Linked DNA regions of Macaca mulatta. Each later gene encodes a partner of the first gene's protein in a complex. Links are inferred from orthologs where the notes say so. Each region holds a gene or a part of one and is shown on either strand. Other genes may lie near its edges. The genes, in order: PIGA and PIGY.

The links.
Region 2: PIGA (region 1) and PIGY share a complex: the UniProt entries of both Homo sapiens proteins name them as parts of the glycosylphosphatidylinositol-N-acetylglucosaminyltransferase (GPI-GnT) complex. The link is inferred for Macaca mulatta from reciprocal best matches to the Homo sapiens genes PIGA and PIGY.

Annotation. Positions count from the first base shown.
Region 1 is NC_133426.1:14,994,340-14,998,850, forward strand, and holds the start of PIGA (phosphatidylinositol N-acetylglucosaminyltransferase subunit A), read right to left. Parts: upstream 2,834-4,511; 5' UTR 2,791-2,833; coding exon of another isoform or gene 2,778-2,790; intron 2,329-2,777; exon of another isoform or gene 2,252-2,328; intron 247-2,251; exon of another isoform or gene 1-246. UniProt on the Homo sapiens protein: Catalytic subunit of the glycosylphosphatidylinositol-N-acetylglucosaminyltransferase (GPI-GnT) complex that catalyzes the transfer of N-acetylglucosamine from UDP-N-acetylglucosamine to phosphatidylinositol and participates in the first step of GPI biosynthesis.
Region 2 is NC_133410.1:97,843,201-97,847,700, reverse strand, and holds PIGY (phosphatidylinositol N-acetylglucosaminyltransferase subunit Y), read left to right. Parts: upstream 1-1,652; 5' UTR 1,653-1,741; coding exon of another isoform or gene 1,742-1,944; intron 1,945-3,415; coding exon of another isoform or gene 3,416-3,557; 5' UTR 3,558-3,652; coding exon 3,653-3,868; 3' UTR 3,869-4,447; downstream 4,448-4,500. UniProt on the Homo sapiens protein: Part of the glycosylphosphatidylinositol-N-acetylglucosaminyltransferase (GPI-GnT) complex that catalyzes the transfer of N-acetylglucosamine from UDP-N-acetylglucosamine to phosphatidylinositol and participates in the first step of GPI biosynthesis.

The DNA.
Region 1 (4,511 bases):
GTGTGGTGGTTTCCAAGCTGTGGTGGTTTTCACTTGTGCACTCTTAGATATCCTAAGCCAACATGTAAGAAATCCATCTACTGTGCTAGAGGGGCAAGGGAAGAGATGACAATATGGAGAAAGAAGAGCTCTGAGACTACATGGAAAGAGCCAGAGGCCCAGTCATCCAGCCAACTTACCAGCTAAATGCAGCCTCCTAGTGACCACCGGCAAGACCAACAGAACCACCCAGCTGAGCCTAGCTCACTGCAGTATCATGAAAAATAACAAAATGGCTGTTGTTTTACATCATTAAGTCTTGGGGTGGTTCGGTAAAAAATAACAGACAACTAAAACAGGCCAGGATTCAAACTCAGTTATACGGTCCACTGCCTGTTTTTGTAAAGTTTTATAGGATCATAGGTGTGCCCATTCATTTATGTGAATGGCTACTTTTGTGCTACAAGAGCAGAGTAGTTGCAACAGAGACCATATGACCCACAGAGTTGAAAATATTTACCATCTGGTCCTCTACAAAAGTTTGCCAACCCCTGCTGTAGAGCTTAGTCACTAATTCAATTAATCTCATAAAGTTTTGCTAGTATTACCTGTGTGGTTTACACTAAAACACACCTGGAGCTCTAACTATCTTTTTGAGAGCACCTTTTTCAAATGTCACCAGAGCACATGCTGCAAACAATCCACATGTTCTCCTTCCTTATTCAAAAAGGGTGATTATTTAGGCCGGGTGTGGTGGCTCACGCCTGTAATCCTAGCACTTTGGGAGGCCGAGGTGGGTGGATCACCTGAGGTCAGGAGTTCAAGACCAGCCTGGCCAATATGACGAAACCCCATCTCTATTAAAAATACAAAAATTAGCTGGGCATGGTGGTGCCTGCCTGTGGTCCTAGCTACTCGGGAGGCTGAGGCAGGAGAATCGCTTGAACCTGGGAGGTGGAGACTGCAGTGAGCCGAGATCACACCACTGCACTCCAGCCGGGTGACAGAGCGAGACTCCGTCTCAAACAAAACAAAACAAAAACACAAAAACCAAAGAGGGTGATTATCTAACTGCTCCCTTCACTTTTTAAACTTTTCTTTCAGTTATGCAGGCCTTTCAAACTCAATGAGTGTCCCTCCCTTCAGTGTGGTGTCTAAAGATAAAGGCTAAAACTAGAGATGGGCTGTATCTGGGACCATTTTTCCATTTAAAGTGCAAAATGTTTATCTCAGGGGTCCCCTAAAGCCTTATTAATATGAAACGCCCACTCAATATTTAGTACTATTATACATTCTTAGATATCTAAAGCTAAAAAGAATCTTGGATATCTAGTCAAAATCTTCCTCAGCTTTACAAATAAGATTTCCAAGGCTCCAGAAAACACAACTATACAACGAGAAACCATCCTAAAGCTCCGAGTTTCCGGTTTCACCTGCAAACTCAGAAAATGCCAATTAACTGTATGTGCAAAGGCCTGTCTATTCTCTCCAACAAATTCATCTACTTTTTTTTTTTTGAGAGGGAGTCTCACTCTGTTGCCCAGGCTAGTGTGTAGTGGAGCAATCTCCGCTCACTGCAGCCTCTGCCTCTCGAGTTCAAGCGATTCTCCCACTTCAGCCTCCCGAGTAGCTGGAATTACAGGTGCACACCACACCAGCTAATTTTTGTATTTTTAATAGAGACGGGGTTTCATCATGTTGGCCAGGCTGGTCTCGAACCCCTGACCTCAGGTGATCCACCAGCCTCGGTCTCCCAAAGTGCTGGGATTACAGGTGTGAGCCACCGTGCCCGGCCTCATCTACATTTTAAATACACTCTCAGAAAGACTCCAGAAGTGTTTGTTGACCTGAATTTACTAATTAAGATTCAATATTACCAAATATCGAAATTCCCCAAGTTTGTACTTTTAGGTGGCTTAACTAACATTTTCTTACTGTGGTCACCTAATCCCGAACTTACAGTTCTACCAGTTTTAAAAGATGAACGATAACAAAAGCAGTGAGTAATGAACCAAATATCATTTAAAATTTTGTCCTCAGCCTGCAACGTTCTGTGAGGAGTCTGCCCACTTCCACCAGGTTTTCACTCCAAACATCTCTGACATAAAAGTTCAATATGCTGCACAATCGCAAAATCTTAGCTTTTAAAGCCGAAATGAGGCTTGGAGCTCTAGTGAATACCTCTCTCGCTTTATAAATGAGAAGCCAGACAAGTTGAGTCATTTGTCCAAGGTTCCCACCCAGCCACTTAAAGTGGCAAAGAAGACCTTACCGTAAAATTCTCGACCACGGTCAACGAGTCCCGGGCAATCATTAGCGGTAGCGGTTCCTTAAGAACCTTAGGGAGACCTGGCAAGAGTTGTGGGTCAAGAGAATGGTACTTCCACCGACAATTCCTGGGCACTGTCTGAGCTTCACTCCCTGATTCCCTGAGAGGTCGCCGGGGAAACGCTCGGGCCAAGGAGGGGATGACCCTGCTCAGACAGCGACCCCGCTGGGTTCATGGCGGGGACTGGCCAGGCCCAAAGAGAGAAGGAAAACAGCCAGAGAGTGGACGTGGGTCTCAGGCCCGGGGTTCCGAAGACCCCAGTTCCTCGACCCACCCGCCTGAGCCAAGGAACCGTCCTAAACGCACCCTCAGACCCAACCTACTCTGGAGATCCTCCGACCCAACTTCCGGGCTTCGAGCCGGGTCGGCTTCAACCCGTCCACCACCCGCCACGAGCCCACGGGCGCAGAACAGCCCCATCCAAAAGCGGGCCAGAGCGCTAGAGACGGGCGGCGAGACGCGTACTCACCGGTTAGTTCCATGGCCGCCAGTGTCCGGACCTCCCGCGGCTACAGCCTGAGTCCCTCCCTGCTGTCCCTCAGCACCAATCTAGGCGTCCGCGCCCAAGGGCCGCGCCCCCTAGGTAACCAATCACAAAGAGGCGCTGAGGTCACGTCCGAGAGCGACGCTCTGTCGTCCCCACCCTTAAGCGCGGGCTGCAACGTCAGCGCGCGCCTGCGCCCGTCTCCTAGAAGCGGCCGTCGGTAGGGTGGGTGCCCCACCCTGGTTTCCTGGTTACAGCGTCTCTATTCTGGACGCCAGTTCCCTCCCCGCTTGCTGCTGATTGGAGAGACCTTTTGTTTGTAATCAGCTGTGCCACGGCAGAACCGTGCCCGTTCTTACCGCTCTGGGACGTTTGCCAGATGTAGCAAATAAAAATACACAAAAAGTCAAAACAGATGAAACTATGAAGTTTCAATTTCAAATAAAGCACAAATGATGTTTAATACAAGCATGTACCAAATATTGGGGATTTCACTACACAATTATTCGTTTTTTATCTGACATGTAAATTTAACTAGACATCTTGTTATTTATATGGCAACTCTACACTCTGGGGGAAACATATGAGGTCTGATCCGAAATATCAACTTCCACTCGAACTGGTTCAACTAGTTATGATGGTACTTGACCAGGAAGCTAAAGAATCAGTGAGAGTGGTGTGATGGTCATCCATGCGTCACAGCTGGTACTTGGAGTCCCCCATCCCTGCCATACGTGCGTTTTCGAGAACAAATTCCTTTCTGAGCACCATCACCGCCACCATTACTGGCACCCATTTTATTAAGCTTAGTGTAAGCCTATTCATCCCTGAAAATGTCAGCTTCTTTCTGATGCTTTTCCCAAGCCTCTAGAGAATGAAATACTCTCACTTTTTAGTGTTAATAGTACTTTGGCCATGTGCTGGTATAACATTTATCAGATGATATTCAAGTTGTTTGCTGATTGCATTCTCCCTCCTCACCCTGATCCTTGATTACTTGTCTCTTGAGATCTCACATGGACTTCTTTCTGAAAACTAGAAATTGTATTTGCTTGTTAAATGTCTGCCTTCCCTGCCAGATAGTAAGCTGAGGCAGGATCTGTTCTTAGTAATGGATGTTCAGTAAGTTTTAGTTTAATACATGAATTTCTTTACCCAATGTCAGCACGCTCCCTGACACATATTAGATGCCCAATAAAATGTATTGAAAGTATTTCATGGAGTGTACCTTATACAAATTACAGTGCAATAACATCATTGAAAGAGCATTTTAGTTGTGGGATTTGAATTGAATGAATGAGTTGATGAGTAAGGCAAGAGTAGCCATAGATACTTTGCCCTGTGTTGATATTGATGAAGCATGGGAGAATTACAATGATGAAGACTCAAGGACACTTAATTAAGCTTTATAATTTGTAGTTGGTTTCACAGATAACAGCGACACTACCAGATAGGTACAGCATTGCTTTGGTCTCCTTTTCATTTTTGTAATAGGTTTTAAGACAAAGACGGGGGTAGAAATCCTGGAAGGTATAAATGAGGGTTAAGCCTCGTTTATTGAGCCCCTGGTTTGCCCCTGCCATAGTTCTGATCACAATCCACACTTGAAATTCCACCGTGAATCTTTTTTCAAAATATAACAAATATTTCTTATTTTTATCATCAAACGTTTACTGAGTGTCTGCTCTGTAAAAGGCCTTGTGGGGAATACAAGGAATA
Region 2 (4,500 bases), on another chromosome or scaffold:
AAACTTATCTTTCCTACAGTTCACCCCTTCCCTTGAGCCCAAATTATCAACTGACTTCAACTGAAAATTAATTCCTGCTACTGCCCTAGTCGGAAATAGTGTGAAGGTAACATAGGAACTTTACAGTAGTTTCCCTTGAGGGTAAGTCCTGGTAACTGCCCTATTCTCTAGTCCGTTAGTGACTGGGGGGGTAAGTCCTGATAACTGCCCTATACTCTAGTCCCTTAGTGACTCTAATAACCGACTATGAAAGATTTCTTTGTGGGGGAAGGAAGGTGTGGCAACCGGAGACTTTCATTATCTCTTAAATATCTATCCAGTAGAAGTGTTTCCTTTTTGGTATCCTACAAACTACATTAACCTTAGAAAATCTCCTGAGCATTAGTGAACAAAGAACATCAAAAAATTAACTTTTTTTTTTAAAAAACAGGATGGCCCAAAAAACAAATAGACAAAAAATTAGGATGAACGCATAAACATTTCTCAATTTATTTTTACATTGGAGTGGGAGAGAAATTTGAAAATATAAACATATTTTCGTATTCTTTCCTTCTAGCCCCAGGAACTCAAAGTGTGAAATGATAATGCCCAGAGATGCAAAAAAAAGTTCAGGTTGATATTCAGCAGAACGGAGGGAAAAAATGGATGACTAACAAGAAACTTTGAGTCTTCGGACATGGAAAAACTAGATGACATAAAAATAAAAATAGACAACATTAATAGAGCACTAATTTGTGCCAGGCACTTTTCTAAATGTTCTTCGAATGCACAATCACATTTATCCCCTACCTTGACAGAACAAGGTAGGTACAATTATTAATCTTATACAGATAAGTAAAATGAGCAGTTAAGTCACTTGCCGAAGTAATCCGGCTACTAAACTGTGGACAGGAAACCAAGCTGTCAGGCCCCAGAGCCCAAGTTCCCATCTACTACACTGTAAGAAAGAGATCTAACATGCATCACTTCCTCGGAGAGTCGGAAGCAAACCTGGGATACAAATTCACTGAATGGATCACCCATTTGACTAACAGACATCTGCCTGTTACACAGTTATTTAGGCCCTTTGCGGCCTCCAAGCTCATTGATAGAAGTAAATTAGTTGTGCTTTATTACGCAAATACTTCACAATGACTGGGTCTCAGGCAGGAAGAATTTATATATTTTGGAGGGTCAGAGGCCTAGACCATTCCTTCCAGGTTCTCACTTTTTTAAATGAGACAGAAAGAAGTCAAACAAGATTACAGAAACTAATGGTATAGTAAAGACGTACATGAAACAAATGAACGCTTTCAATACATCCATGGCAATACATTCAATACAATACATGACAGTGTGTTTGAAACTTCACTTGGAGGTAACCACGTAGGTCCAAGCCTAACTCCCTACAACTCTGAGATCTGGCCACTGGCTTCCTAGCATCTCTGCCACAGGCCCCGGTGAAAGCCCAGACACCTCGACTTAAACACTGATTTAGTTTGTAGTCTGGTAAGGCGGCGGGGCACCCACTAGAGGCCTCAGCCCTGGGGCTGTCCTACGGCCTGCAGATGACGTCCGTGGGAAAAGCAGTCGGAGCAGGAGCACCCTCGGAACCAAAGCGCCCGCCCCGCCTACTCACCGGCAGCGTTTCCCAGAGCACCAGGGGGCGGGGCCTGGTCGGCTGGCTTGTACTACCGCGGAGCGAGGAGCTCGGCCCCGGCTGGCGGAGGCGCAGTGAGGCCTGGTCTCCGGCTGCCAGACCATGCTGAGCGGAGCACGCGGCAGGCTCGCCTCAGCGCTGCGGGGAACTAGCGCAGCGCGGTCCGCGGTCGCCTGTAGGTGTCTGCACGCGTCGGGCTCGCGGCCTTTGGCCGACCGGAGCAACGAGACGGAGGAGCCGCCCCGCGCCTTGGATCCGGCGCTGCTGGAGTTCCTGGTGTGCCCGCTCTCCAAGAAGCCGCTCAGGTGACTCGCTGGTCTTGGCCCTTCCTTCGCAGCCTCCCGGTGGGCGGAAAGGGAGTGGTGGACCGCGGCCTGTCTCAGCCACTGGGGACTTGTAGGTCGGTGAATACTCTCCGCTGCCATATTCTGGACTCTGTCCCCGCCGGTGCATGCACCTCCCCCTGCGGCGGGCAGAACGGGGGAGACCGGAGGCCAGGGGAGCCGCGTCCCACATCTCCCAGAGCACATAGCCAGCCTGCCGGAATGGCTCGAAGCGTTTTAGGCTTCGCGACCGGCTGCTCTTTGCAATCACCCGGGGACCGTTTTAAAAATGCCGATTCCCCTGCAGCCCCCAAGACGGGCAGACTTGGAATGCTCGGGGGTTGGGACCTGAACATTTGTATTTTCTTTTTTTCCTTTTAAGAGACAGGGTGCCCCCCTACGTTGCCCAGACTGGCCTAGAACTCCCACCTCAGCCTCCTCAGGAGTCGGGAGACAGGCGCCGCCCCCACGCCCAGCTTATTTGTGTTCTTAAATGGTCCCTAAATGATTTCTAACGTACCAGCAGGTTCTTGAATTACTGCGATTCAGGACAAGTCCAAAGCCATCCGGTTTTTAAGCCAAGATAATGAAAAGTATTTTACCCTCCAGATTCTTGTGAAAGTGTCTTGTACAACTGGTGCCTGACAATCTTAAGCAATTCAGCTGTGTATGCTGCCTGGTGGCTCTTAGTTGTGGCCTAGCAGATTTCTTAGAAGCCTCTTTAACCTAGTTTTTGGGAAGACAGCTCTACAGTTTCCAAGCTCCCAAAAATGGAATATTGACAACACTAACGCTAGTATTACAAATCGCATAAACGAAACACCAAAACGTTGTCAGTGGTTATCTTTGAGTGGTAGATTACTAGCAATTTTTCATATTTCTTTTTTCCCATAATAAACATATTCAGTTTTCTCAAACCTTGAAATTATTTGATTTGCGTTTATAACTAGCTCACGGCAGACTTACTGCTTTCCAAAGTTTCCTCATTTCTGCCCTCTCACCTTTTCCAGTGATTTCCTTCTAATGGATTAGTTAAGTTTTTCTACTTAGCATTTATTCTAAAACGAAGAAGTTGATTTTTCTCTAGTGTTTATTCCAGTAGTAAATTAACAGAGATGATTTGGGGGTTGACCAAAGTAATGAAGGAATATTTGGATAAGAGAGGGGGATCTTTTCTGACTAGTATGAAAAAAAAATTAAGGAATAACTTGTGAATAAGGTGAAAAAGAGAATATGAGAGAAACTGACTAAAATGGGAATAATTATAGATTCTAAGAGAATTTTTCTAAGATAAAAGGTTGAATTGGCTATCGTTGCTTTTAATTAAAGAAGACTATTCTGGGATTAACTCCATACCAAGAATTGGATAAATGGTGGTATTTGTTGAAAATCAGGCTCTTCAATTATTTTATTTTTCCACAACTCATTTTGTTCTTTTTTTTTTCCACCCCAGATATGAAGCATCAACAAATGAATTGATTAATGAAGAGTTGGGAATAGCTTATCCAATCATTGATGGGATTCCTAATATGATACCACAGGCAGCTAGGATGACGCATCAAAGTAAGAAGCAGGAAGAAGTGGAGCAGCGCTAGTTCATAATTAAAAAAACATAAAACGCAACAGCCAACTTTTCTTAGTACCATATACCTTTTAAAACACAGTGGCAGGTAATAAGTGGAAGAGAAGAATGTTTCTGTCTCTTCCTACATTGACTGTTCTTATTCCACTGGTTTCTTTAACAGGACTGTTCTACTCAGCCTCTGTGGAAGAAAACTTCCCACAGGGCTGCACTAGCACAGCCAGCCTTTGCTTTTACAGCCTGCTCTTGCCTATTACCATACCAGTGTATGTATTCTTCCACCTTTGGACTTGGATGGGTATTAAACTCTTCAGGCATAATTGATGCAACTAGAGTCAATATGCTGTATACATTAATGGTAGTTCTTGGGCATCTATCTCTGAAAGCTCAAATGGATGGAATTGAGTTTGTGGGAAAGAGGCTTTGCTTTGCGCATATCAGGCTTAGGACTGTGGGAAGCTTAAGTTGCAGGTGCTTCTTTTATTGTGCTCTTGTTCTGCCCTTGTTTTTTGAAGGCTCTGACTTATAACTGCTGTATCAGAAGAAACATTTTGACAGTGTCTTGTTGGAGATAAACATCCCTAATTGACATGTGATGACTATTTCTTATTCCATTCATCTAAAAGTCATTGAAATTTTGTTTTGCTTGTTTGTTTAGCTTCAAGGTCTTTGGTAAAGTCACATGTTAGGGATGACTGAAATAATTCCAAAGGAGTGATGTTGGAATAGTCCCTGTAAGGGAGAGAAATGCATTTGAACGAATGTGATACAAAACCATATAATGAAATAGAAATTTCATGTACTTACAAAAATTGAGTTTGTAAAATTACCTTCATTTCTTTGACATTAAATGCTTATATTAGCAATAAAGATGTTGACACTTTCCCATAAAAAATAAACCAGTTTGTAATCATTTGTTTTGTTTATTTGTTTGGTCACAGAAGTGTTATTGATAC